Linked DNA regions of Rattus norvegicus. The protein of the gene in region 1 purifies or fractionates together with the protein of each later gene. This does not show direct contact. Links are inferred from orthologs where the notes say so. Each region holds a gene or a part of one and is shown in the gene's direction. Other genes may lie near its edges. The genes, in order: Lrig1, Erbb4 and Erbb2.

What was found.
Region 2: the proteins of Lrig1 (region 1) and Erbb4 purify together in Homo sapiens (affinity purification with western blotting; 3 studies listed by BioGRID and IntAct, with this or other methods). This does not show direct contact. The link is inferred for Rattus norvegicus from reciprocal best matches to the Homo sapiens genes LRIG1 and ERBB4.
Region 3: the proteins of Lrig1 (region 1) and Erbb2 purify together in Homo sapiens (co-immunoprecipitation; 4 studies listed by BioGRID and IntAct, with this or other methods). This does not show direct contact. The link is inferred for Rattus norvegicus from reciprocal best matches to the Homo sapiens genes LRIG1 and ERBB2.

What each region holds. Positions count from the first base shown.
Region 1 is NC_086022.1:128,781,710-128,791,595, reverse strand, and holds the start of Lrig1 (leucine-rich repeats and immunoglobulin-like domains protein 1 precursor), read left to right. Parts: upstream 1-3,376; 5' UTR 3,377-3,857; coding exon 3,858-4,090; intron 4,091-5,888; exon of another isoform or gene 5,889-9,886. UniProt on the Homo sapiens protein: Acts as a feedback negative regulator of signaling by receptor tyrosine kinases, through a mechanism that involves enhancement of receptor ubiquitination and accelerated intracellular degradation.
Region 2 is NC_086027.1:78,039,212-78,048,936, reverse strand, and holds the start of Erbb4 (receptor tyrosine-protein kinase erbB-4 precursor), read left to right. Parts: upstream 1-3,330; 5' UTR 3,331-3,363; coding exon 3,364-3,445; intron 3,446-9,725. UniProt on the Homo sapiens protein: Tyrosine-protein kinase that plays an essential role as cell surface receptor for neuregulins and EGF family members and regulates development of the heart, the central nervous system and the mammary gland, gene transcription, cell proliferation, differentiation, migration and apoptosis.
Region 3 is NC_086028.1:83,902,626-83,912,542, forward strand, and holds the start of Erbb2 (receptor tyrosine-protein kinase erbB-2 precursor), read left to right. Parts: upstream 1-4,975; 5' UTR 4,976-5,080; coding exon 5,081-5,162; intron 5,163-9,917. UniProt on the Homo sapiens protein: Protein tyrosine kinase that is part of several cell surface receptor complexes, but that apparently needs a coreceptor for ligand binding. Essential component of a neuregulin-receptor complex, although neuregulins do not interact with it alone.

The sequences.
Region 1 (9,886 bases):
GAACGCTTGTTGGTTCTGGGCACTGGTTTCTGCAAACTGTAAAATCTAGAATGCTTGGATAGATGGCTCAAGCACTCAGGAGGTAGAGGCAGGAGGATCAGGGCAGTAAGGTCATTTCTTTGTTACCTATCAAGTTCCAGATGAGGCACAGTTAAAAAATATTAAAGCGTTAGATTAAATAGATAAACAGACAAAACACAGATTAAGAAGGAGGATCAGCTCTGTGCTGTAAGGATCATGACCTGTTCTAGCAGGCAGTTTTCCTTAAGAGTCTCCCTTGGTGTTCCCTTCCTGATCTTAGGTTGTGGCCACAGATGATTCTTTCCTAAGCTGGCTTTCTGCTCTCCAGCCCACACTCTTGCTGCAATCGCATGCAGGTTGCTAGTTTGTGGGCAGACTTCCATACATGGTGTGAGGAGCAGACATGACTTCATGCTTTGCCGTAGACGAGAAGAACTGCCAAGGCTCAGGCGCCCCGTTCCCCAAAAGACTTTCTCGGTTTGGAATCCTCTTCTCTGGTGGTGTGGTAACCAGACCACAGGGGATGCTGTGGATCTGGGGGGCAAATTACCTTGCAGATCCCCAAACCTTGTCCTCTAGGATGCTGGAGTCCCCAGGTGCATCTCATAGCCCCACCCACAGCATTTGAAAACATTTTGTTAACACTCTACTGTGACCAACCTTAAGGTAATTTTCAGCCGGGTTTCATGAAGTGTGATCAGTTGTGTTTAGTATGTGGTTTGATTCAGGGGTGGTGTGGGGATGACCCGAAGTTTCTTTAAGGGCATGCTGCTCACAAGCATTCTGAATTAAATTATTCTTTTATTTAAAGATTGTCTGTAATTCCAGTGCCAGGGGGATATGATTATCTCTTCTGACCTCTGTGGGCACCACCAGGCATGCATGTGCTACATAGGCATATGTAGGCAAAACACACATACACATAACATTTAAAAAAATCATTGCAAATTTAAAATAAAAATTTAAATTAGATTTGGGTGTGTGCTCATTCATGGAGGCCAAGAACAGCCTGCAGGAGTCAGCTCTCTCCTTTCACCTTGTCGGTTTCAGGGATCAAATTACTCTTTCATTCTCTCAGCTTACTGGTCTAAACTACTCTTTTGTCCCAGCCCTTGGGATGCGAGGCAGGAGGATTGCTGCAAGTTTGGTGCTAACCTCACTACATAGTGAGATGTTGTTTCAAAGTATGTCATACTCCTCTCACAGAAAATTCAGTTCCCAGCATCCGTGTCCGGTGGTTTACAACTACCTGCATTAAGCTACAGTGGCCGTTGGCTTCCTCGGACATCCTGCACTCATGCCCACATACACACACTTATATATACACACATGCACACACATAGGCAATTAAAAGTAAACTAAATCTTTAAAATGTTCTCTTTTGTGTTGATTGGGCTTGAGTGCCATGATACTTAAGCCCCATGATAGAAGACTCGTCCAGTTTGCAGATCTTTTGTACTCTGTCCCTAGTTTACTATTTCCACCCAAAGGGGTGAAAACAAGGAGACCGGTTTCTCCTTATCCTCGTGGAAGGTATATGCTTGTGTGGACTGCGTGTGCAGTGCATATGTTCCTGTTCACGTGTGCACTTATTACTGGGAGCTTTTCTGTTAATATTTCTGAGGTATTGCATTTAGCTTAATTTATGCACACGTGATCACTGCTTCAACATCACTTCTGAGAGAAACAGAAAAGAGGGAGAGAAACCGGACAGCGTTGATTTGATGATGTAGGCAATCAGGAGAAAGGGAAGGCTGATAGGAGGATGAAGAGAATGGCAAGCAAAGCCAGGCATGCTGCACCCTCTGGTAATGCCAGCCAGTTATTCATGAGGCTGAAACTGGAGGATGGAAAGGTTGGGGGAGCCTGGCCTACAGGATGAGACTCAAACAATCAAAAAAGAAGTGTGTGTGTGTGTGTGTGTGTGTGTGTGTGTGTGTGTGTGTGTGTGTAGAGGGGGAAGACAGACGGGGAGGGGGAAGAGACACAGAGAGAAAGCACAGCCCACCAGGCAATAATCACTTGACTACTAAATTCAGGTCCAATTTTGGTTTAAAAAAAAAAACTTGAGGGACAGTCACATTTAGCATCGAAGCAAATTTCTTGAATATGTCGAATATGTAATGAAAACCTTTTAACCGTTTGGTTTTTTTTTTCCCAATGAACAGCATTTCTACTCCATTTCTATAAAACTTAAGTTAGATTTAGCATGCTAGAACAAATGTTTTCCAGAAGACTCTAGCGCCTTAGTTTCCCTGACTGTGTGTACAGTTGAGACACCAGCAAGTCAAAGCTCCCAGAGGCGGCAGATATGTATTACAGTGCTAATCTCTCTCTCTCTCCACCACCCCCTCCATTAAGTGTGTGTGTGTGTGTGTGCGCGCGCGCGCGCTCACCTACGGCCAGGCACTATTTCACAAGGCGGTTACCAATCTATGCTGATCTGTATGTGCCAAACTCACAGGTTCTCTCTCTCTCTCTCTCTCTCTCTCTCTCTCTCTCTCTCTCTCTCTCTCTCTCTCTCCATAAAGAGTACGTCACGGATAATTTCCTGAAAACTGTATTTGTATTTAAAAGCTCCGATATTCAAAAACAAAACACAACACCACAACAACTTGCCCCTTTATCCAGTCCAGAGCACCTCCCGAACTATCAACTAACTAGGAGCGGGGAAGGTGGGCGTGCCCTCGAGATTCAATTTCTTCGCATACATTCATTTCGGTAGTCAAGGACACATTTCTGGATTTTAGATATCAAGAAGAACGAGTTTGGAGCAGAAATGAGAAAGGCTGCCCGCCTCTGAGGAAATAGCTGAGAAACTCGCGAAAGTTTTAAATCTTTTTTTTCTCCTGTAAGGCACCTGAAAAAAGGGTGCTCGTTTGCTGTAAATCCACCATGCTGTTTGTAGTCTAGGAGAGCAGAACAAACCTTGGGTCCAGATGGCTCCCAAAGTCCTGGATTACAGTCCCAACTTTCTCTCCTCCCCTAGGCTCAACGGACCGTTGCTTAGGCCACTTCTCCAGATTCTGGTACTCCGTAGCCAAAATCCTGCAAGTCTCCTTTAAGAGGAGACAGCACGCCCCTCCTTGTCCCCGCCCAGTCCCCGCCTTTCACACCTTGGGTGGGAAAAGAGAGCGGAGGCGGGGCCTCGGAGAGCAAGCGCTCCTACGGGCTCGGAAGCTGACCGGGGCTCCGGAAGCCAATGAGCAACGGGCCGGGCGGGGCGTAACGCTGTAGTCCAGCAGCCAACGTGGGCCGCTCTCCGCCCGGGGGCCCCAGCGGAGGGGTGTGTGAGGGCGAGCAGCCGGGGCGGGGCCTGGGGCCGCGGGGTTGGACCGCAGCGGGGCTAGCCGCTGATTGTTCGCAGCTCCGAGGCACAGTGCGCTCCGGCCGCTCCGGGACGGTGAGGCGCGTGGGGTCCACGGCTATCAGCTCAAGAGTCCTCCCGGAGGTGCCCGCCTGCGCCACGCGCAGAGACCAAGGCTAAGCGTTCTCAGTCCTCAGCAGCAGCGGCTCTCGGCGTGCGCCCGGGCTCCGAAGGCAACGCGCAACGCGGCGGGAAGGACAAGCAGCGGCGGCCGAGCACTCACCGCTGGACTCTGCAGAGTTCGCCGCGCGCGGGGCTCGGCCCGGATGGGCGCGGGGGTGGCGGTCTCCGCAGGGTGCTGCGAAGCGGCCCGGGCAGAGCGTGCCGGCTAAGCGCAGCGGCCGCGGAGCCGACTGGGGCCGGCCGTCCATGCCCCGGCGCGGAGCCTAGCGCCGAGCGCAACCCGGGCCCGTGGCCGCCGGCACCTCGCAGCCCTCGCTTCCCGGCTTCGCGGCGCGCTCCAGACAAGATGGCGCGGCCGGGTCCGGGAGTGTTCGGGGCCCCGCGCCTTGCGCCTCGCCTTCTGCTCTGGCTGCTGTTGTTGCTATTGCTGCTACTGCAAGGGCCAGAGTCTGCGGTCGCCCAGGCCGGTCCGCGGGCGCCCTGCGCGGCCGCCTGCACTTGCGCCGGGGACTCGCTGGACTGCAGTGGGCGCGGGCTGGCGACGCTGCCCCGGGACATGCCCTCCTGGACGCGGAGCCTGTGAGTATCGCCTTCGCCTCTCATCCTGGCGCTGTCACTAAGACGGGGCTGCGGGTGCTCTCAGCGGGGAAGATAGTGCGCTCTGTGGGCTGGGAGACTTTTGGGTGGCCGGGTGGAGGTCACGCGTGGGGAGCTCGGGAGAGAGGACTATACCTCTGGGGTTTGAAGGTGAGCGTGATTCTGGAGAAGTCTGCCTTGCATCGAGCGTGTGTTTTCGTGAGGATGCAGGGCATGAGGGATCGTGTAGGGGTGACTTGAATGTGTTTCGTGAAGTGTGGAGGCCAGCGAATGTGGGGCGTGGAGGTGAACCACGGGTTTGTGACTTGAAGGTGAGTGAGTGTGCTGTCGAGCGCGAAGTGCGTGTATGTGGGTGTGTGAGTGAAGAGTGGAGGTGAGCGAATTTGTGTGCATGCGAGATAGACGATGGCAGAGTGTGGGAGTCTTGTGTTAGGATCTGTGTGTGTATCTTTTTTCCTGTCTGTTCTGTAACCCAGCCCTTTGGTGTCCTGAGTTCCCTCAACTTAACCTCCAGTTAGTAATGAATGACGGTGACGCTCATCTCCAGTGTTCATTCTATTTATATTATTTATTAGTGAGCGTGTGTTGCAGTCTCCTGATCACCAGAGAATGGTGGCAGCTTGATTTGGCACTGACTAGGGCAAAAGGACCCTGCTCCGGAGAACCCAGAAATCGAAAAGCTTTGAGAGAGTTCTTGGACATGTCTTGAGTGTAGCTGTTCCCTCTTTTCCGCATGGCTGGCATGCACAGGAACTGTGTTCCAGATCCTTTCCTGTCTGTTCCCTGGGGTCCCCTTGGGCTTGATCCACTGGGGTGGGTCTGGTCCCACCCTCGAGTTTCTCTTCCATAAATGGCACAAGTTAGTTGACAAGCTACCTCAGGAGACATTGACAGGGGGTCTGGCTGGCTCTGTCAGTCTGTTTCACCCCACAGAGGTACATTTCTCTGTTGCTGGGATTTGGGCCTATCCGGCGTTGGTGGGATACTTTTTGCAGGACATTTGTCAGGAACAAAAAGACGTTGGATTTCTGTAAATGTAGTGGGATAGAATAGCATTGTTATACTTCAAAAAAAAAAAAAAAGACTTTTGAGTCGAATCTTGCTCAGCTATCAGTAATTAGCATCTCTAGAACTATTAGTACCTTTCAGAAAAAGGCCGAGCTTCAGTAGTCTGCTTCTCACTTGAATGTCTTTCCTAGGACATAAAGAAGTACAGCAGTAGCTTCAGTCATGACATTTGTTGTTTTAAAAAGAGAAAATCAATGACGCAGGCTTTAACTCACACCTGTGGCTTCATTGCTGAAAACCGGGGCCTGACTATCTGACTGTCTTGAAGGAGAGAAGTTAATTCTTTTCTAATAAGGAGACTCTGTGTTCTCAGAATGAGGCCTAGGTCTCTACGTCATCACTTGGGCAGGCTGCTGTGTGAGTTCTGAAGCCAGCTGAGACCCTTTTGCTACTGTTGCTGCCTTTTGCCCCTCCCTCCCCCCAGCGGCTGCTTCCCTTGTGGAATTCACTACTGAAAATACGTGGTCTTAGAGTGGGTTTTAACCCTGTGGCTCTGTCAGTTCCTGGGAGGTGAACACACTATTGCTCTTTGCTGAGATTTTATTTAGTAATAGTTGAGGCAGTTTGAGGTATTTCAGGTTTTTTATTTTCTCATACTTAAGATGGGATTTTTATTATTATGACGATGACGATGATGATGATGATGATGATGATGATGATGATGACATAATAGAACCATGTGGGTAGAGTCAGAATATCTTCTCAAGTGTTCACCTGTTGGGAGATTTGCAAAGCCTGTGTCATGGGTGAACCTGAGGAATGCTCTCAGGTCCTGAACCATACTTCCTGGAGAGAGAGCTCTTATTTGTGCTTGCCTTTTGTCACACGACCCACCTTGCCTTGCCCTTTTTTGGAGTGGAACTCAACTAGTCATTTTTAAGCTTTTGGTTGCCTACAAGTGACAATTCACACAGCATAAATACCTTTAAAATTGCAGTCTCTCTTACTCACACAATTTAATGATCAATAAATACCAGACTAGGTATTTTGGGCTTCAGGAGCTATGACTCTACTGAAGATGGTTTTAATGGATTAGTTTTAAGATTCAAGGAGTTTGGGTTCTGGGTTAGTATGTGGTGACTTGGGCGAGTGTGCTTGAGCTCTCTCTCTCTCTCTTTCTCTCTCTCTCTCTCTCTCTCTCTCTCTCTCACACACACACACACACACACACACGGGAGGAGGGCTTTGAAGAATACTTACAAGTTTGTTTTATTTCTGCTTAAAGTGCAATCAAGTGTGAATTGTCTCCTAACCTTCATATTTCTCAAAATATTTCCCCTGCTGATACTGAGGGTTGAGCCTAGGTCCGGAGCATGCTAGGCGCTCAGCTCCTTCTGAACTGTATCTCCAAGACCAGCGCCTTCCTTTTAAACCATTGCCTTTATCTCGGCAGGGTAGCAGTGGAGAAAGTCTCCGTGTATGATACAATGAAGTATCTTGCATTTTCACTGGATTTACACCTTTTAAGGTCATTGTGTCTAGAAAATGCTTCGAGCTGGTTTATAAGCCTGTGAAGTAGATTTACAGCAGCCTGCTCAAACAGTTCCAGGCTGCAGGTTTGCGATAGCAAGAGTCCTGGGCTTATCGGTTCCTCCCATTTTTGTAAACAGTACATATCTACTTTTGGAGTTGTCCTTAGGCCAAGTGTAGAGAAGCTAAAAGTTTTTAATAGTGAATAAAAATTTAGTGTGAGTAAAAAAATGGAGGGTAGCATCACCAGCATCGATGGAGGGGATCTCCAAGGCTGAGGATAATCATATTCTTTATGGCTAGAGAGGTGGAGCCTAACCGAGTGGCCTGTCCTGTTGCATAGGTGAGATCGGCATGGTCCAATCAGAACACTCACAAGTAGCGCCACACACCTCCCAGAACCTTACAAGAGGCTGAACTTCTTAGAACTTAGGTGTTTGTTTTCCTTGAAACTATTTTTGAGAGCATGATTTCAGAAGCTCTTTAAAAACTATTATAGATTTACTTTAGACTGTTTCTCACCTGTCTAAATTAGAGCAGAGAGTTTAGTTACAAAATATGTTGCTGTTAACGTTCTGAGAGGTAACTGATGGCCTCTTGGGAGTGGGAGGTAGGCAGGCTCAGGAGGGCAGTTCTCGGATTCTTGTTCAGTGGAGGAATGGGACAGGGATTCAAAAGCAAGGGCCTTTAGGAAAGGGCACCAAATGTAGTCATCCTGAGGCCCGGTAGTGAGTGTGGATTGGTTTGCTTCTCTTGTATTATGTGTTTGCAGTATCAGGTTGGCTGGCTCAAATCTAGCTTTGCTGGTTTAAGTGGTGGTTAAGGCTACATTAGGCAATATGTATTCTGTGCTTTCACTGGAGAGTTGGGAAACCAGGACAGCCCCTGTCTGTCTGATTCTACAGCTGCGCTTCAAGGGCTAGGTGTGCGAAGTGTTGTGAATTAAGGTTCTGGAAATTACTTTCTATCTTAGGCAAGTCAGATGACCCAATCCTTTCAGAATCCAAACTGCTATGTGTGTGTGTGTGTGTGTGTGTGTGTGTGTGTGTGTGTGTGTGTGTGTGTGCATGTGCGTGCGCGAGTGTGCAGGCTTGCATGTTTACATGAAGTACCCAGCTGGTTCACAGTCCCTCCTTACCCGTTCTTTCGCTTTTGTCTCATGTCACTTTAAGAGCTCAGCAGACCTTGAGCTTGTTTCGATTTGGGGTCGGAGGTTGTTTGAGGTAGAGATGGATTTATTTATTTTGTGGTGCTAGGGATCTGAACTCACTGCCTGGGACATGCTAAACAACTGTGCTTTCCTGCTGAGGAGCTCCACCCCCAGCCCTACAGATAGATCTTGAGGGTACTTGCACCTTTCAAAGTTTTCTCTGCTATGAGACCATGTTGAAAAGATCTGTAAGGATGATTGAACCCAAGGCTTTGCATACTCTTAGGCAAGAGGTCTATTAACTGAGCCATATCCTCATCACATTGTCCCCCTTCGAGGCACTATTTTAAGAATCAGTGCACTCATCTTGTTCTATAATTACATATAGTTACTAGATTTCACAAACTTTGGACTTCTGAGTGTATTATAGGCAGTAATTCTTGGCACGGTCTTGAGAAGGCTGGGGACAGTGCAGAATGCGGTGTTCAGAGCTTCTTTCTGTCCCATGTCCCCGTGTGCCTGCTCTCCAGCCTCCTCCCTGTTTGGCTAATTATCTCTCCTGGGTTCCCTGGGCTGCTTCCCTGACCAGTTGGGTTGCCCTCTGGCTGACCTTTTTCCCTGTCAGGCTCTATGCTCACAGTGAAAGAGTCTCTTCCCTTCTCTGTGTTTCCGTGGTACGGACAGAAATGCCCCAGAGCTGGCTAGAGGCTAGTGAGACACCTGGCTCTGGAATATGCACCTGCCCGGAAGAGAGAGAGGTCTGTGAGATAGGAAAGCCAGACTGTGGCTGCTAAAAGTAGCCTATGGCTTTTTAAAAGTGAGAGGGAAATCCAGAGGAGGGATTCATTGACTTGAAAGTTGCTGTAAGCAGTAAGAATGGTGATGGTTTTGATGTTTGTCATTCCCTTCCTTGTCCTCCTTCTTCCTCTCTCTCCTCTTTTCCCTCATTTGTTTAAAACATAAAAGGGATTCCTCTTGCTTACCCTATAAGTTAGTTGCAAGACTGAGTTTTCTGGGTAAGTCTAACTTTCAGCTAGTTTTGATCAGCTTGGTGACATTTACTCACTGGGGACCTTCCCCCTCCTCAGCAGTCACAGTTTGAAACCCTGGGCAGCTTTCAGAAGAGAACAGGACTTTGGGCTGTGCTAATATCCAGAGTTGATTACAATGGGTGCTCTTTCCAAGGTTAAAGCTTTGTCTTGAGACAAGAGGGAGAAAGGGGTGGAGGGAAAAAGTCCCAGGCTGAGGAAGAAAAATATGCAAAAATCTCAATCGGTGCCTGGCCTATGGGAGGTGTGGGGATCATTAGTGCTAGGCTTGAAGCTTAGGCGGCGTGGTATGGGACCAGTGGGGGCCATGAAGGGTGGACTTCCTTACTTCAGTTCTTGCTCTGTGCGGGTAACGGTCTAGTTCTCTTCTGCTGCTGTGTCTAGTAACGTTGCACATTTGGTTCTGTCTCCTTATGGACCTCGTTGAGGACCAGAGGTTAAACTTTGTACAGTGGAAATCACATTCATTTATTTAGTCCAAGTATTTTATGTACTAATGAAAATTTCAGTTTTTCACCAGTTAAATTGCAAACTGCTGGTCTGTGCCCACACTTTCTTGTGGGCATTCTTTTTCTCAGGTAAGAGCTTTATGCTTTATGTTTCGATGCTGTCATGTTTTGTGTAATTCAGGGCTTCGTTTGTTGGTTTAAAAATACTTATTTTGGTTATTTTAAATTATGTGGGTGCCTGAGTGTCTGCCTGTGGGGTATATACCCACAAGTGCAGGTGTTCCCTGGATGCCAAAGGGGTTGGATTCTCTTGGAGCTGACGTCACAGGCAGTTATGAGCTGCCTGGTCTGGGCGCTAGAAACTGAATACAGGCCTTCCAACAGAGTAGTAGAAAGTACATTCAAGAGCTCAGCTTTCTCTCCGGCCTTTATCATCTGTTCTTCTGACCCAAACACATGTTGCACAGTTCCACAATTTGCTGATAGAAGCTGTTCTATTTTTTTTTTCAAAAGTGGTTTCTTCCTTTCCCTGGGTCTTGTGCTCTTTGATTCCCTGCCTTGTTCTGTGCATCCTCTCTAAATGGGCATTGGG
Region 2 (9,725 bases), on another chromosome or scaffold:
TTGTCCAACTTAGAACACACTAGAGTGTTGTAATGTGGATGCATTTTCAGATTCATAAGAACTGCGAGAAGAGGTATTCAGCAGATCATTCTTGCTCCTTGTTTGTGGTTGACTAAAAAATGAGTTACTTGTTTTTTCCCTCATCATCCCCCACAACCCCACCATCAGGCCTGGTTTCAAGTCTTAGACACACATTTTAGTCAACTGATAAGATTTCATTATAGCACCGCACTGCAAAGTGGGGAAATACAGAGATCTATTTCTGCCTCTGGCAATTCAGATAGCATGTCCTTCCCATACCAGGTAGAAAATGTTCTCTGTGATAGTTCCTCTTTGTGCTAATTCAGCAGACATGGGAAGCCGATGACAGCAGGCCTGTAAAATAATAATCCTTTTGTATTCTGTTTTAATCTCTGCCTGCTCAGGATAGCCCGTTCCTCTATACATGCCTGTTTCTGATATTGAAACGATCTAAGCTAGGCTTTCAAAACTAAGATGTCAGTATCGAACCTAACGTGCTTCTGTAAGTCATAGCTTTCATGTCCAGTTTGAGGGCTTGAAAGCTGTTGGCCAAATGTCAACCGAAGGCCAGGTCAATTACTTTTTGATTCAGTAAGAACTAGGAAAATATGGGTTAAGACAAACTGATCTGAGATTTAGGCACACATTATGGACACGTTGGCCACGTAATTGGTGGATATCAGCTCTACAGCGATGGTAACATCTATGATTGTAAGTAAAAGTCCTCGTCAGCTAAGAATTAGTCTGGAAAATCTAGGTGAAGTTAGACCATACATAGAGGTCCTGCTGTAGTTGTGCACCAATGTTGGTACAGGTATTATTTTCTAGCACTAAGAGTTGAACTAAGGGTTTCATGTATGCCAGGCAGGTATTATACTCTCAGTCCGTTGAAGGTCAATGAAGACAAAGACGTCCTCATAATAAGCACAACTAGAAAATACCGTGAGATATTTGCACATCTAATCTGTTTCTCACAACGGGAGTTACAATCTAGCTATTATAACTTCTTCCATTTCCAAAAATAACTGTCACCAGAAACTGGACTCTAACAAAATATACGAGCTAAAACTCCCCCCAGAAGTAGCTTGTTTTTGTCATTTAAATTGTTATCGTGGTGACAGATGTAAAAATGAACAGCTTTTATGGAGAAAGGGTACCTGAAAGTAAGCATAAGCCGTTGGAAGACAAGGAAACCGGGAGGAGAATGCTTTAAATGGAAGGAAGAAATGAGCATGGAGAGGAGATAAAGAAGAGAACAGAGCTAACATCCAAGCCCGGATGCGTGTACCTGTGCAGTCAGTCAGTGCCGTGCCATTCTAGTCAAGGTCCCATCGCTTGCTCTGGGCTCCGTTTTTCTCTGCCCTGGGCTGCTTCTGGGTAAAAAGCACACTCAGCTTGTTTGACCTACGGTGGGCCTGTTACACACTGTGGGGCCAGGGAAAGGTTTCAAGCTTCAAGCTTCTGTTTTTGCTCTCTTCAGCTGCCTGGAAATTCTTGAGGGATGGGGCCATAGTTAGAAGATGTGTGAGACCAGGAGAAGGACTCCAATAGTGACCGAGGAAGCAGGGTGGTTTGGTCTTAAAGAACCCTTGCCTTTTTTTTTTTCACTGCTTTGAGAGAAAGCAAAGAAAATGGCTTTTTAGAATAGCAGTACACATAGAATAACCTCTGACTCCCTACAGCTCTTGGCTCCAGCTTAGAGTGGTTTTGGACCTGTGGCCCCTCAGACCACAGTAATCCCTTCCAGGGCATTTTCGATTTAGAGAGACTCAGTCTTACAGCTGTTGATGACCCTGGAAGCACACACCCTGCAAAGTGAGAGCAAGTGCAAGGCCTCAAGCTGGCTCTGCTAAGGTTTAAAGCTAACGGCCTGAGTCCTATAGTTATGACCTGACCTCCTAAACACATTCAGACCGAACAGCACAGGCTTAAGATAGTTGGCATAATTTCAGAGTCAAAGGATGTGGTTTCACAAATATGGGTTTTTAAGTTTGGCTCAATGTCATCTTGGGAAGGTGGGAGAGACGGCGTCTTATTTGGGAAGACAAGAACTGTTGGCAGGTTTTATTTTACCTGCAAGGCTACCAGCTACCTGCAATATCCATTTTAAAGTACTAAGCACGGAACGTTCTGGGGTGATGGAGAGGGACCGAGATATTTTTTTTCCCAAAGCAACACTGACTTTCTATTTCTAGGGAAAGTCGTGCGTGTGGACTGATGCCTTGGAGCAATAAAGAAAATGTCCTGTTCTTGTGTCAAAAATTCCTTCAGCAAGCATTCCCTCTGGTGGACTGACTTCTCGGCGGGCCAGCTGTCCAGGGCCTCTGCCAGGGCAGTCGCAAGGGGAGCGTTTCAGACTGTGGTCTCCACTGAGCCTCTCAGATCCTGCTTCCCCTAGGAGCCCCTACCAACACCGTGCTCCCACTGCCTGACAGGTGTTTTCCCAACTCTAGGGGCAGTGGATTTTGGGGAGTGTCTGAGCCAATAAGATTTCTCCTTAGGGGGAGGGCGTGGCTACATGGGTCAGAGCAGGGGCGGGGCTTGCGCAGCGGAGGAAAGCCTGGCTGGTTGCGTGGAGGGTTGTTTGATTCCCACCCCCACTCCCCTCTTTTTTTCTTTCTTTTCTTTTCTTTTCTTTTTTAAAAAATCTTTCTCCCTGAGTCTTATTAATTTCTCTGTGGGGCTGCGGCTGGAGACCGCGGAGCGTTGGAAATGACGCTCGGAGCTTTAATTACTGCAATGGCTGGACAAGTGTGAGGAAAGCTGACAGTGGAAAAAAAGGGGCACAGGATCGGGGAGAAGGAAAGAAGCACCCCCCCTCCTTTTCCCTCCAGATTTGGACAGGAGATGCAAGGAGACTGAAGAGAGAGCTGAACATAGCCTGGTTTTGGGGGGAGAGGCCGGAACCCTGCCGCCTCTTCGCAATCAACTTTTTTTGGAAGCCTTTATTCCCCCTCTTTCTTTTTATTGTTGACCAACCAGTGAGAAGGAGAGAGAGCGAGCGAGAAAGTGAGGAGTGAACGGGCGAGCAGAGGATCACTCCGGAAACTAGCTGTACGGTTGTGCTCGGAGCACCAGCCGCACAGTCGCGCACACTCCCATCCGCGCGCCCTCCTTCGCGGCCCCTTGCTGGGTCCGCGGGTCCCCGGGTCCTGGAAGCCGCCACCAGCGCCGACTGGCTCGCCAACCCCGGGAAGCCCGTGCACAGAGCGCGCCGCGCCCGCCCCCCTCGCGCCCCCCACGCGCTCCCGGCTGAGGGGGGGAGATCTCCTCCGCGTGCCCGCAAGTGGCTATGGTATTTGGACATGTAATTGTCAGCGCGGGATCTGAGACTTGCCAAAAATGAAGCTGGCGACGGGACTGTGGGTCTGGGGGAGCCTTCTGGTGGCAGCCAGGACCGTCCAGCCCAGCGCTTCTCAGTCAGGTGGGTCGCGGTCTCGCGGTTCCCAGTCGCGCTCCAGCTGTTGAACCCGCCACCGCCTCCGGTGGCTCCCTTCTCCCCTCGTTCCTCTGTCACCCTCCGGCTTGAGGGACCGTAGGGACCTTGCTTCTGGCTTGGGTCGCCCCTTGCTCCATCCCAAACTTACCTTTGTGTGTGCGTGCGTGCGTGTGTTTTTATTGATGCTACAAATGACTCCTCTTTCTTGCCTCCCTCTGTATTATTGTCCCCCCTCTCGCCCTCTCTTTAGCCCCCTTCTTTCTTTCTGGCGCGTTTTCTGGGAGCCTAAGCGGGATCGCTTCTGGTGGCGCCCGTTGTTCGGGGCGTGGGAGACCTAAGCCCCGTCAGTGGAGGTTCCCTCCTCCTCCGGCTGGGAAGGGAAAAATAATCAAACCAAACCGGAGAATCTCTGCACCTCTTCGGGCCGCCAGGAGGTTCCCGGGCTGAGCCTGGCTGGCCTTCCCGGGGTGCAGGGCTGCGGCGGAGCGCGGCTGGGGAGCGGGGTTGGCACCTGAGCAAGCTGGCACGCGGCCGCCGGCCCGAGTCTCCCGTACCCTGCGGGGTCACATCGGACGCTCAGCCCTATCCGGGCAGCTGGAGCGCACCGGGTGCGCGCCTCGGCCAGAGGCCAGGGACTCTGGGCCTTCTTGGTTGGCATCTCGGGGCTGTCTTTCGATTGACTTGGGGCGAGAAGGGGGGGGGGGCTGGCTCGCCTGCCAGCAAGATCTCTTAAGAAAAAAAAAATCCTGGCATACTGAGCCCGGAGCCCGGCCTTCCCTCCCGGTGCTGGTCTTGGCTCCGGGAAGAGTTCTTCCAGTAGTGCAACTTGGGGTTGGCCTGAACTTCTGTTTACTGCCCCGCCAGGCTGCAGAGCCCGCGGGTGGCACTCATTGACTTAGCCCGAGGCGGGCCGGGTGGCGGCTTCCTGAGTGCCGCCACTGTTGGCCCGATCGCCCAAGCCCTAGGTATTTGGACAGAAAAACGACTAATTGACCCCGAGAGGCAGCACAGAGTCGCTGGCGTGCTGGGGCCGCCAAGGCCAATGACAGCGGCTGAGACGTAGAGGAGCTCAAAGTTTTTTGACTCTTGGGAGTTTCTCCCGGATGAGAGGAGGGGACACGAAAGGACTAAGGAGAACCGGTGTGTCTGACCCGGCTGAGAGGGGCGAGAAGAGGGCTTTTGGAGAAGGCAGAGAGATTTCCGGAACCTTCCGGGGCTGGTGGCGGGAACGTGGGAGTCAGCTTGAGAAGATAAAGCGTTCAGCAGTGGCGACAGGGAGAGCTTTAGGTCCCTAGAGGGTGTCCTTCTGACCTCACCGAGAAAGCGGCTGCTTGCTAGTTTTCCCGCTCCGCCCCCGCTCCCGCCTCTTCCTCCTCGCCTAGTAAATAACAAGTTACAATCTCTGAGCTGTTCAAAATGACCTTCGAGTGGCACAAGCTCGCCATTTGTGCTGGCCGTTTGCATACTCCCAGTGACTCCGAGATTCTTCGTGCATTCCAGATCCTGCGCTCCAGCCACCTCTGGAATCAGAGCGGCAGCAAGGACTTGAGATTCCAGGCGGCCGCCTAGATACATCCCTTTCTAGCTTCCCACTCGGAGCCCCTTGCCTTTCCCTTCAATGGGTTGATTATGCACATTGACCCATTCAAAGACACTCGCAACTGTCATGCAGGCTTAGCCGAGAGGAATTTCTATCAGGCCACCCTACCAGGGGGCTGTCTGGCATGGCCTGGGCCGCTGGGAGATCCCCCCTCAAGTCCACAGCAATTGGTATTAACTCTACAGCTCCCGGTTGGGCTATGCCGAAGAGCCCTTTTCAGAATTTAGGCAAGGAATGTAATCCAAATTAGTTCTGTAGCTGTCCCCTTCCGCGTCTCAGACGACACCAGCTTGCTCCTTAGCTCTCTCTGCTCCTTTCCCTGGGCGAATTGTCAGACCCACAAGTGAGCCCATTTAGAAGCACAAGGATTAGCGTGCCATTGTTGTTTCGTGTGTGTGTGTGTGTGTGTGTGTGTGTGTGTGTGTGTGTGTGTGTGACTCTGTACTTGAAATTCTGGGGACACAAAAGAGAGACTCACTTGTTCAAAACACAAAGTGATCTAGATGAAAGGGCCGCACAAAGAAAAGCTCTCGGGTGCATCCCTGGTATAATTGCAACAAGCATACTTAGGTGATCTATTGGAAACTGTCTGTGCCCCCAGGGACTTCTTTTTTTTCCAGGCGCCTCCACCGCACCTGGCAGAGAAAGTTCAGCTGGTTTTAATGTAGTGCTATTATAAAAACAAGACGCTGTCTGGTGAGAGCGAGGCTCTGTGTTTGCGCCTGTGCGTGTGTGGCTGTCTATCCAAGTAAATACATAGCGCGCGTCTCCTCTCTCGCGGTTAGCAGTCGGCAGCAGTTTGGAGGAGTTTGTTTTGGTCCAAATGAGAAATTAAGTGCGGATAAGTAAACTAAGCTGCCAGAGGGCGACAAGATGTTGAGTGAATTGCTTTTAGATGAAACAAATTAAGGAAACGAGGGAAGACAATCTGCTTCTCGCATTATTAGACACGCTTGGAGTTCAGGGGGAAGTGGCATATTTTTGAAATGCTAATTTCTTAAGCAGAAGGAATGCACCTTATTTACTGCTGGATGTGAACGGAATAAAAACATACAGTGGGTGATTCCCTTGTGCGATCTTCAAGATGTTTCTAGGGAAAATTTTACGTAGGAAAACTTGCTTTTCCTTCTGCTTGAGGGGGAAAAAGTCAGCTTTTGAGTATTTAAAAAATAATTCCAAGGAATTTATGTCTCTTTACCGGTGGTAAATATTATCTATAAACATTTTGGTCAAAGGCCTTTCTATGGTAATTCCACCTGGAGGAATAATTCTAAAATGTTTGCCTTCTTTCTGTGGTTGAACTTATCAACATCACTTTTTTACTGAAATAAAACTATACAGTTGTGTTGAAGTGACATTCTCACAAACCGTAATATGTGCTGGACAAGATCATTTTTCTTCTTATGTGCAAGCTATTTAGCTCCCTGCTTTTCATTTAATCAAAGTGTGCACATATCCTATACATTTAAGGTATATTATTCCCCTCCTCCAATATTCCAGTGGTATTCTACATTTGAGAAGTTATTAATGAAACTTAACGAGAAAAATATTACATAGATTTTTTTAAAAAAAATAATGCATGAATCTTTTCTTCAGAGGGCATTTGCAATGTTCATGAGCATAGGCACACTATCCCCTTTTGTTCCTTCAATGTTGAAAACCGTGCATGTGTACGAGGTAGCTTTATAGAAGAACGTAGTTTTCTTTCATTTGGAACACTTCTAAATGGATGGATACCTTGCATTGTAGCTTCAAATTACTTGAAAACACGGTAAGTTTCTATGGTTGAGGTGAAGTGGAATAACTGCTTCTGTCTTCATTGTTGATTTCTCTCTTCAACTCAACTGCCTTTATTTTAATCATGCATGCACAGAAACTCAAATTTCTCAAAAACACAACCATATATATATGATATTATATGTATATCATATACATATATCATTTAGTCTCTGAAAATGTGTCTTAATTAGGAAATTATGTCAGAATGTTTACTGGGGCTTGGGCTTGTATGTGCTGGAAGATTTATATATTTTTTATTCTAACCTGAATAGTGTGTGCATTGGCTGCTTTTTTTTTTTTTACAGTTTGCATTCACTTGATAGAAAATCATATTTCCTCCTCAAAGTGGATTCAAATATTTAGTATTCATGAGCTTTCATCTCTTTGGTTCTTAAATAGAAGTGCTATTTATCATCTGTCTTACACATTCACCCTTTCCATTACTAAGAATCCCTTACGTATTATTTATCGAGTTTAGGCACATGTGAATATATATTTCTCCCTTCCACCACTAAGTGTATTCATTTTGTATGTGTCTTTCCCAGCAACCTGCCACTCAGCCACTGCAGGAGTTCCCTAAGCCAGTTTTCATTCTTTCTCTCTGATAAATCTGATATGGCTGGTTGGCTGAACCATCGTAAGCCATTCCATTGCTCAGATTTATTCCTGAAAGAAAATAAAACGGCATCGATCCCAGATCACTAGGGCATCTCAAAAGCCCAGACTCCAAGGCCAAATCTTCCCACAGAGAAGTGCCTCTTTCCCTGTGGGTTCCTTCTTTTTTCCCCTTGACCATGGACAGGTGGATGACTGCCATGTAACAAAGGCTACTGACGAGAGGGAATTGTGCTCTTAGTATTCCCTGAAGCTTGATTACAGCCACTTTGAGATTAATGGCGATGTAAAGTGTACGTTTTACCCAGTGTGCCAAATTAGCAGATCTTCAATATTGCATTGCTTTTTTTTGTGCGTTGTCTGGTCAATTACTACAAAAAAAAAATTAAGTTTGTGTTTTCAAAATAGCTACAACTTTTGGTTTTGCAGTGTTCTGCTGCTGTGGGATGCCCACCAGTAAGTTCTCAAAACCTAAACGAAACAAAAGATCAGAAGAAATGTTTTGCTACCAACAAACCTATTGGCATTTGACCTGCTTAATCCCACATTTCTGAGAAATACTCTTTTTGTAGATATGTTCATAGCAACATTGAACTTAGCTAATGCATGTTCAAATCTACAAGAGTATAATGAATGTCAAGTATAAATGTCAGGACCACCCTGTCATCCTTTACAGAGATATACTGAATGTGCTATAGAGGACAGAAGTCAGTCTTATTACCAGCTTCCCCCAGATCAGACAATCATAGGTGGTCTGTTTGGTTAACATTTCACCATATGCAACTAACTTGGCCCCTTTTTTTCCAATATTCATCTTGTGTAATAAAATATTGAGTAGTCAGAGAAAATAATTTTGTTATTGCTAATAAAGTTATTAATACGAGTTTATGGATTATAATGAGAGAGTATTTTGATTTATTTATTTGTTCTGAATTAAAAAAATCTGATGAAACTATAGCACTTCTGTATAATTTTAAGGAGACTTTACATGTCTATATAAGAAAGACAGCATAGACCATACCATAAGGTTTAAATCAGGACTTCTACATCCTAGGGACAGTTCTAGGCTCCTAATGTTGTCAGAATCATTCCATGTCATTGTGAGTTGGGTTACCTGCCTGGGAGGCCAGGGAATGCATGTAAGATACTGCATATTTCTCTACTGTGTAGCAGTTTTCCACAACAATGAGTTTAAAGCCTTCAGTGATCCTGAGATATATTCTAGTAACCTGTTAAGTGTTTCTGTACACGGAATTCAAGTTGTACATACAATTAAAACATTTGTGCATACATTTGTAAACACAACATAAACTCCACAGCAGGCTGTCTCTGTTTGGAAAGCACCCATTTAAAGAAACAAGGAGGATCTTCACTTTCTAGCACTTACTCGGGAAAACTCTTTCTCTCAAATAACACCTTTTGGAATTGCTTCATGGTGTCCTCAGATTTCATTGTTCATGTATCTTTCTGAGTTTGTCAGTATTTTGACATAATTTTTTTAAGCATTTATTTTTCTGAGCTTTAACAGCAAGCTTTAAAGTCAGTTTCTTGTTTTTGTGCTGAGACTTAAGTCCTTTCTAGAGTTAGAGAAAGAAAAGCTTGCGATGTCGCAGTATGTGGTGGTTTGGGGCTCTGATTCTGAAGAGGGTTTTGAACAGGGAGTAATTGTCTCATAGTTATTTTCAAATAAATCATTGCTTATAGGCACATCATTTTGCACAACTTCAGGGGGCAGCAGATTCTCACAGAATTTAATAAGAGTGGAGATGCTTGCACTGTGGGTAGCACATCAGCAGCTCTGGTTCTGAGGAAAGCTAAAGACTAAAGCACTGAAATAAATGTGAGAGTTGAGGGTTCTGGTATAAGCCTTCGAGAAGGCTTGGGTTTGACTCCCAGCCTATTCACATACCTCTGTTAGTGCTAAATTCGATGCCTTGACTATTACCATCTTGAATGTTTTTAATGATTCCGTGGGAAAATGGACATTTTAACATACGTGGGAGAAAAATCAATTGTTTTAAGATTATTTTTGTACGTCGATCTCTTGTTATTGAGTAAGCTCATGTGGGTAGACCTAGGATCAAAAGCAATTTTTATAGTCAGCTTTTGTTTTTTGTTTCATTTTTTTAAGCTTTAGAGAAGAGCTGACTTCTTGGAACCTACTTTGAAGGTCTCTGGTGTTTCCTTCTTTCCCCTCTGCTGGTCTCTCTTCTTCACCATTCTGGCTTCAGAGAAATCTAACTCTTTACAAGATACGGATCTCGTCTTGTC
Region 3 (9,917 bases), on another chromosome or scaffold:
TTTCAAAACTAGAGGGTGACGATATAGCTCAGAGGTAGAGTGTTGGACCTAAGTATGAAGTCCTGAGTGCGATTCTCAGAACTAAAGGAGGGAAGAGGAGATTGTCTGTAAAGGGCAAAGAGCAGGCACAACGAGGTGAGTTTAGACAGCAATCTGAAACTAGGTCCTCACAGAAGGACTTTAGGATTGCCATACACCTTCTCTTTCCAAAACCAATGACAGAGCTTCATCTACACCCAGTGCTCTGAACTCTAATGCCTGGGGAGGTAAACTTAGGACCTCAGAGGACTAAGAGGCATGGTAGAGTGGGGGACATCCCTCAGCTCAGGAAATAAGAGATCCCAAACTCTAGGAAGGAATGCCTCAGTGGGGCCCCTAGGAGACAAGCAAGGGGGGTTAAGCTCTCAATCCAAAAATACCAATGGGAAGCCAGGGGTGGCAGCAGATACCACTGGCCACCTAGGAAGTAAAGATGGTTTGAGTTCAGGAATTCAAGACCAGACTGGATGACATACCAAAATCCTATCTCCACAGGTACAGAAACAGAAGAGGCATTCTGGAAGCATTCTGCGCAGAAAATCCTGCTGAGTCCTCGGGACTTTTTTTTCTAGACATGGTCTCACTGTCAGAGGCTCAGTTTTGTTCTAAAGCAGCTTTGAGAGATAAAAGGAATTCTAGAACCTTGGGGCTGCATTCCTGGTGCAGGAGTTACACCAACAGATAAAGGGTCAGCCCAGCCAGAAATTGAGCACCATCCTTGAGATTAGGGTTAAGCCTGGGCGAAACATCAGTCCTCATGGTTAGGTTACCCCTATTTTAAAAAGGGTCACCATAATTGAGCATAGTGTCATGCAAGTCTTTAATCCTAGCACCAAGGATCTCTGAGAGTTCGAAGCCAGCCGGGTCTACACAGAGAGTTCCGGGACAACCAGAGCTACATGGTGACACTCTGTTGTTGTGAAAGAAAAAATAAACAAACACTTTTTTTTTTGCTTTTGTTTTGTTTGAGTCAGGGTTTCATTGTGTAGCCCTGGGCTGTTCTGGAACTCACTCTGTAGACCAGGCTGGCCTCAAACTCCTAAATATCTCCCTGCTTCTTTTTCCCCAAGTACTGGGATTAAAGTGTAGCCTGCGGCTACAACCACCAGGCTAAAAGAGGCCATCTTTAGGAAAAGAATATTTTTCCGATCAGAAGCATCTGATTTATTCCCCTTTGGTGCCAGGGAGGCCTCGTGTCCACTGAGGGAGCTCCTTCCTAGTAACTAATCCATATAGACACTTCCCTTTGCAAGCTGCATCCCAGTCTCAAAGCTCCTTAGTGGGGCCTAGATTGTGGCATGGACCTCGGACTGTGGACCAGACTGTCCCCTCCCTTTCTCTGTTTGTTTTCAATGCTCTGACTTGAGGGCTGGCTGGTGAGGTAGGCAGAAGGGAGGCGCGCGCGTCTCACACACACACACATAACACACACACCACCACCACCACCACCACCTTCTGTGCCCCCCAGGCTGGTCAATGATTGACTGGCACTTCACAGGCCACTGGTTTCAGACCCTGGCTTGGTGACCCTTAGAGGTCACCTCCAGCGTCCAGAGCCCCTTCCTGTGCCTTCGATGTCAATGACCTCCCCCACTGCCTCTTCTCTGCTGCCCAGGATCTTCTCAGGTGAATCTTGTTTCTGGCCCGGAATATAGTCAACTTCTCTTCCCCGTCCGTCTTCGAAATTCCCTCACTGGGCCTGTCTCGAACTCTCAGCCTCCGACCCCCCTCCCCTTCTCCCCAGTCTCCCCCTTCAGTCTTTGTCCCCAAACATCCTCTTTCCTTGGCTCTCCTGCCAGGCCTTAGTAAAGCGACAGTTGAGCAGAGAATCAAAACGGCATCGCCCACCCTGCCCCCCTTCCTCTCCCCTTGTCAAACACCAGAGAAGGTTTTTCCTTTTCCTTCCAGGCTCTGAATGCACTCTTTCTCTCAGGGAGGTTCAGCCCTCCGGAGCCTCCTCCCCAGGGCGTGAGTTCTGACCCCAGCTCCTCCCCGCCCCCCTTGCCAGCTCCGCACCCAGGCCCCGCCCTCCATGCAGCCCACTAGGGCTGAGCATTGTCTACAGTACTGGGCTTCTTCCAGGGGTCTGGGATGCCCAGTACGTGGGCTTGCTTGCAGGAAGAAGGGAGAGAGGAGGAGGTATTTTTGCAGATGGAGGGACCCTGGTGGCTGATGAAGGAGCCACTACAGCAGTCTTAGGAGAGGGATGACTTATGGGTCCCTTGCGTGAAGATAATGTTGAAGCCAAAGCCTTCTTGGCTTAGTTTCAGGCTCAGCTGTGTATGACTTTACAAAGTTGCAGTTACCGCTTAGGACAGAGGTTCTCAAAATGTGGGTCGCGACCCCTCTGAATTCGTCTCTCTCTAAAACTATTTACATTGTGGTTCATAACAGCAGCAACCTTACAGTTATGAAGTAGCAATGAAAACGACACGTGGGACTGTATTACAGGGTCCCAGCATTAGGAAGGTTGAGAACAGAACCACTGGCTTAGAATTTCAGGGTGCCTGCTCTGCAAAATGAAGACTAGTGATACAATACCTGGAACCTCAGGGAGTCCGGAGAGGAGGGAGGTGCCTGCAGAATGATACAATTGGGGTTCAATGTCCAGGCCATCCTTACTTAGCTCTCTCTCAGCTGCACTGATGGAGAGCAGGAGAGGGTCGGGGCTGGGAGAGAAGGGACAGCCAGCAATGGCACTGAACCCAGGTTAGTATATCGTCTTTCAGGAGAGCTGAGGAGTTACAGCTCTGAAGGACACCTAGGTTAGGGCAGGGGCCGGAAGATGGGCTGGGGTAAGAATCCAGCTTTGCTGTGGCTCCGAATTCCCATCGCCTTAAGATGTCCTGGGCGAACGTCTTAATCTTTTTGACTCTTGATTTTCATAATCTCAAATAGGAGTGTGTGTGTGTATGATTGCATGTATTTCATTCATTATTAATATTTTTTACTTCAATCCTCCTGCGTCAACTTCCCAAGTGTCGGGATTCTAATGGTGAGCCACTATCGCCAGCTGAAAATAGGGATATAATACATGTGAGTATTTGTTGAGCATTCTTGACAATGATCCAAGAAGTAAATCACGTAAATCACTGGATATCATCACCTACTCTCTCTCTCTCTCTCTCTCTCTATATATATATATATATATATATATATATATCCATATATGTATATGTGTATATATATCTATATATATCCACATGTGATTCTTATTAATGTGATTCACATACATCTTTTCCCTCTATTCAGTTTCCTTCCTGTCTCCTCTTTCCTGCCCCAGTGCATGCTAGGCAAGTACATTATCAACCAAACCACAGGTTCAGCCCTCTGGTTCTACTTCTGGGTGTGGTGGTGTGATTTATAATATTGTATTCTTTCTCTTGGAACACCTAAAATTGATCCCCATGAACATCCCATCTACCCCAGAATTGCTAATCTGGGATCATTTATTGAGCAATTATTATATGTCAAGCTCGACCCTCCTGAGTGCTTCTAGAGTGCTCTCTCCTCTAGCCCTTTTCTCAGTTTTACAGATTTGTAAAACAAGATTCAGAGACGGTCAGTTAGTTGCCTAAGGTCACACAGCTAGTATGTGATAGAGTGAAGATATGAACTCAGGTCTTCTGGATACCAGAGTCCCATGTTCTCTGGTCCCTAGTGTGGAAGTGTCTACCTGAAACTGTGTTTCAGTTCAATGAAAGTAGATTAAGTGAGGGCCACCCTTCATTTCCCACCCCCAAAGACAACTCCGATTGCATTTTGACCAGCACAGGTGTGTCCTTGACTGGAACATTCCAAGTACCATCACCAGATTTAGCAAATAAAAAGGAAGGTTGCAATGAAGTTCAATTTGAATTTCAGATAAACGACGGTAATTCATCCGTGTAAACATGTCTCCTGCCATGTGTTCTTGAAATTTCCAACAAAAGGCATGCCTTTCTTCCCGTTCCTCACCTGTCACCAGGCTTCAGGAGTGGCATCTAGGTATTTCAGGGTTAGATTGGCAGGAGAAAAGGACAGGGACAGAGGAGACGCTGAATGAAACTGAGTACTGTGTGAAGTCATAGAGAAGCAGGCATGGGGCTGGAGAAATGGCTTAGCAGTTCAGAACATGCACTGCACTTGCAGAGGACCCAAGTCCTGTTTCCAGCACCAAAGAGGGCAGCACCCGACTGCCTGTACCTCCAGCTTCGGGGATTCCCACTTCCTCTTCTGACCTACGTGGACAATTGCACTTATGTGACACCCCCCCAACCCACATATGAATACACATAATTTGAAATAAAAATAAGTCTTAAAAAGAGAAAAAAATAAAAAAAAGAAACAGGCGAAGCTGTTCTTCCGAGGACCGAGATCCCCAACCCCATGTGACTGTCTCCTCTTAGTTCTGTGGGTTCCTCTAAGATCAGGCTGGAGATACCCAAAAGTATAGAATTGATATCCCAGAGCGTCCTGGAAGTCACCAGTTAACACAACACATCCTCTTCCCAGGCTGTCGATTTTACCTGAGGATGTGGCGGCAGACCCAGTATTTGATATCAAGAGGGTGATGCAAACGTCCCAGGAGTGTTCAAGATAAAACCGGAGACTGCAAAGACGGGTAAAGGGATGCTGTGCTTTTAGGAAGTGGATGAGAACTGCAAGCAAGCAAGCAAGCAAGCAAGCAAGCAAGCAAGCAAGCAAGCAAGCAAGCTAGGCGTCGGGGCACAGGGCACGGCGCACCCAGGCCTGCGCCGGGAGGGAGAAAGTGAAGCTGGGAGCAGCCACTCCCAGTCTTGCTGGAATGCAGTTGGAGGGGTGGGGGGGCGAGCCGAGAGCGCGCGGCTCCCAATCACGGGCGGAGGAGGAGGTGGAGGAGGAGGGCTGCTCGAGGAAGTGCGGCGTGAAGTTGTGGAGCTGAGATTGCCCGCCGCTGGGGACCCGGAGCCCAGGAGCGCCCCTTCCCAGGCGGCCCCTTCCGGCGCCGCGCCTGTGCCTGCCCTCGCCGCGCCCCGCGCCCGCAGCCTGGTCCAGCCTGAGCCATGGGGCCGGAGCCGCAATGATCATCATGGAGCTGGCGGCCTGGTGCCGCTGGGGGTTCCTCCTCGCCCTCCTGCCCCCCGGAATCGCGGGCACCCAAGGTGGGTCTTGGCTTGGGAAGGGCTCTGGCCGCTGTGGCTGCGCCCACGGGCGGCCGGAGCCGCGGAGCTCCGAGAGCTCTACGGCCGGGAGGTCCGGGGCGATGGGGCGATTCCGGCTGCCGGCACCGCGGCCCGGAGGAGATCGGAGCAGCTGGGGATGGGACAGCCACTCGGAGGACCACACTGGAAGTCCAGACCGGCCCCTTCTGGCCACACCGGAGCTTCCCGGACTCCAGGAGACTCCGGGAACTCCTCGGCAAAGTTCTCTGAAACTGGTCCGAAAGTTTTCCTCCGGAGGGTGTGTGAAGCGCTGTGCGTGCGTGCGCCTGTTTCCCCCTTTCAGAGCCCCTTCACGCTTTCTCAGCTCCTCCAGTTGGCAGCCTCCGCCTCCGGACCGGACTGGGGAGGATGCCTTCGGGGTCCCTTCTGCCCCGCCCCTCCCCCTCCCCACCCCCTTCGGCCCTTTGGGTTTAGTAAGTTACTCCAGCTTCCAGCGGGGTCGCCGTGGAGGGGGCGGTGGGGGAAAGTAACCCGTCCTGTGGAGCAGGGAGGACCGAGTGGCGGGTCCGCGTTGAGTTGCTTCTCTGACGGTGTCTGGGATTTGGGGGAGCAGGGGAGGAGGGGCAGGCATTTGTTTTGAACAGTTTTTCTTTCTCTTTCTTCTGTGCTGGGGATGGGACACCCCCACCCTCCATCCCGGTCTCGCGCGTTAGGCAAGCCCTCTACCACTGGGCTGCATACTCCACAGACCTGTTCTGAACAAATTTCCATAGAGCCAGCTTAAGTACTGTGTGCTTTGGGATTCTGGGAAAGCTCGGCTCTTGAAGGGTGGTCTTGTGTTTTTCCGGCTTCCGTACAGTAAAGTCGGAAGGGTTCCTGGACATTTGCGGGGAGGGCATCGAAAAGAAGTCAGGTCAGCTAAGGGTGGACAGAGAGGTTGTTTTCTTGCCTCTGTCTGTGTGTTGGGGGCTGGGAGGGTGACCCGGCAGTGTGTATACCGACCCATATGTCCAGTTCTACCATAAGCGTAAAAGCCGATAGTCACTCCTTGTGGGTCAGCTCTGCCAGGCTCCGTGGGTGGCGGTTTGCACGCATTCCTTCTTCTGTACTGAGAACAACTCCACAGTGGAAACATTAGTAGCTTTCTCATTGTCCCAGGGTGAAAACCTGGGCTGGGGAAATGAAGTATCATAGAATAAGCGGTGGACCCCAGGCAGTGTGACCAGCCACAGGATATGAGATATGAGTCACAGAAATGCGAGTCTACCAGGACAGTGGGGACACGGCTTCCCTAATCAGTGGGCTGTACTGAAGATGCAGAAAACAGGTTCTGGGAGCAGTAGATGTTTTCCAGAGGCCAGGGAGCCTGGAGGCTGGTGGGGTATCACCATCTATGCCCCGACCTCCGGCCCCCATTCTATCAGTACACCCTGTGCTTTCTGTGGGATACCCCTGTATGTCTGAGGTGTTTATGATGGTTATGTGTTCGTGCGTCCGTCCGGGTTTCTGTTGCCAAATAGCAATCTCTCTGCTGACCTGGGGACACGGGATGAACTCTGCCCTCTCTAGGAACTCCCTCAAGGTTCTGGGCTCTATCTGTTGTAAACACTGGGAGATGCCCCTTGCCTTGTTGGGATTGAAGTCTCCTTTCAGTTTCTCAGGAGGCCAGCCTTCCTTCTGACTTTCCGTTGGGAAGAGTGAGGCTAGGCCCTTGCCCTGAGTTGGGTCTGCTGCTGGCCAGGACTGAACTGCTCTGTGCTGTGGAGCAGGAGGGGGAGGGGTCTGCTCGCCAGACAGAGCGGAGGGCTGCTGAGACGTCATCCCTTCAGATGCACTGCTAGGTGCAGAGGGGTAAGACGGTTTGTCTTGCCAGGAATGGTTTTAAAAAAAAAAAAGAAAGAAAAAAAAAAAAAAGGCAGTGCACCATCCGCTGCCTCGAGCTCCGGGTTCTACCTCAGAACCGGTCTTGGGCAGGTGTATAGGGGAAAGGAGATATGGAGAGGCCCAGAGAGTCAAGATGTTGCTGGGCTTCTATGTACTTAAGGTTTTGCAAAACGCAGTAAACACAGGTCTTTACCTTTGCAAGGCTTATATCTATTTCAATTCTAGTATGATTCTCTCCGAGCCCCTCCTACCTTTTGCTATACAGGGACGAAAGAGATTCCTCTTGCAGAGGAGGACCTGGGGGTCTCTCAGGTCCCAGTTCTCACACGGTGGCTCACGACCACCGGTAACTCCACTACTAGGAGCTTTGATGCTTAATTCTGACCTCCACAGGCGTGATGTGTGTAGTGTTCACACAAGGGCAGGCAAAATACTCACGCACATCCAATAAAACAAACCCTAACAAGAGAAAAGAAAAATATACCGCATTTCAAAACCAAATGGGAAGGTCTTTCTCTTTTCTCCTGTAACTACCCAGATCCTTCTAAGTGCGTCTCTCCCGTTCTAAAAACTTCTGTGTGCTTCCTACACAGCAGATCCCTTTTCGTAGATGGCATTGTGCCCTCTCTGCGCTGTCCTGTGGAGCAGGTGTGTACAGAAAAAAGCTCTACTTCAGAGAAGTGAAGAGACGTATCGGGGGGGCCTTTAGAGGTGGTCAGAGTTGTAGTCATCAAACAGGAATGGACTAGGAAAGCCTCATGGCAGCCGGGCAGTCACACAGAAAAGTGTTCTTCTGTTACTCAGTGTGGCCTTCCTAACCCCTATCCCAGGCTGGAGAAGGTACCCCGAGATGGGGTCCTGGGGTGCCTTCCTGGCTGCAGAGTTTGTGTGCAGCACATGCTAGCCTTTCTCTTGGGCCCTCGATAGTGCCAGGAATGGAGGGCAGGAAGGTGCAGAGACCACCAGGACATACAGACCCATGGGAATGAAGTGGGTAGTTAAAGTGGAAACCAGAGGACTAGTGGAGCCCACGCTGGGCTTGGGAAGCAAAGGAGGATCCAGGGAAGGTGTGTCTGCCCTTGAGTGAAGGACTGATCCCAGGAGAATCCCTTTCCTTTCCCCTGTGGAGAGCTCTCAGGGGTCTCAGGGAGTGACAGTTCTGTGATTTGCTAGGCCACCAGTCAGGCAGAGGATTGGCAGGGGACCTCTGTCCTCAGGCGGTTAGAGAGGGAGTCGTTAAAGCTGCTGTTTGGGCTTGCTGCGGGTCTGTTTACAGAGCGTCCTTATATTTACTGAATGCTTCTCTTCCTCCTCTCCTTTAGCGCTCAGGGCCCTCGGAGGGGAGTGAGAGTTGTTACTGCCAAACTGAGGTCAGTAAATATTCACGGAGGGGCCAACTAAGTCACAGTCGCTGTTGGGCTTAGAGCTCAGTCTTATTTAGCTTCTGCCCTGGAGGTCTGAGCATATCCTTCCTGTAGCCCAAGCAAGAGTGGCTGAGCCAAGGTTCTGGATAAAAGACCCAGAGTCTAAACTCCACTCCGACACCAGCTTCCTAGAGCAGGTGTGTGTGGCAAGGGAGTCCTGATGTCACTTGAGTGAGCTCTGGCCTCTGACCTGCTTGGGGAGCTTTGGGGATGTAGGTAGTTTCCTGGCAGGGTTTATCAACACCAAAGGAAAATTCTGGCTTTCACACTGTAAGCCAGATAGCAGCTGGGGGCCCAGGATGCAGGAGGTCCTGGGTTCTCTCCTCAGTGCTGCTGCCAGTGAAGACAAGAAAGGACACAGTGTGAACCAGTTGGGAGACAAGAACCCACAGGAGAAGAGAAGCTTGAAACTAGGAGTTAAACCTTGGTTACTAGTGTTCAGCAGGAGGGACCCAAAGGGCTGGGGTCAGCACTGAGCAGAGGGATGGGTACCTGTTGTTTTCAGCTTGGAAGCGCTTCACTAGATGGTGTTCACACTCATTCATTCATTCATTCATTCCTCCCTCCAGTAGATGCTTATCCAGCAGTCACTGGCCGTGGCCTCGCTCTGTGATGGCCCTGCTTGACACTGCATTTGTCTCCAAGAGTTGGAAGATGGGGTTTCTGAAGGGGACACCAGTCCTGGTGGCAAAGAGGATCCCGTGAAGAATTAGAGCCTTTTGCCCCACCCTGAAATTCTTGGGACAGGATAGTTATGGGGACTGTGGTCAGAGCTGGTGGGGAGAGCTTGGTAAAGAGTGGGGAGTGGGAGGGAGGCCGAGACTTGGAAGGGGTCCAAAGGCTTTCTTGGCTGTATGTCAGCATGGTGTGTTTTTGCGTGGGGGGTGTCAGCTGGCAGCTTTGAGCTCCCCTGGAGGAGGTCTCGGGGTACCAATTTTCCCACCTGTCTACAAACACTTTAAGACTCTTACTCAAACCAACCACAAATCAGATAAACAAACTGGCTAGTGGGGTGTGGCTGCCACTCTTTCTGACCTCCTGCCTAGCCCAGCCACCCTGCCCTGCCCAGCCACCCTGCCCTGCCTGAGCCTCTGTGTTTATTGGTCTCACTGGAGAATTATTATTGTGTTTTATGTTTGTGGGGGGTGTGGCATTGGTATGTGTATGTGTGCGTATGGTGTATATGTGTATGTTGTATATCCATGTATCTGAGTGTGTGGTGTGTCCATGTATGTGTGTGGGCAATGTGCCCATATATGTGTATGTGTGTGTGGTTTGTCCATGTATCTGTATGTATGCTATATATGTTTGTGTGTGTGTGTGTGTGTGTGTGTGGTGTGTCCATGTCCATGTGTGTGTGTGTCCATGTATGTGTGTGTGTGGTGTGCCCATGTATGTGTGGTATGTCCATGTATGTGTATATGTGTGTGGTGTGTCCATATATGTG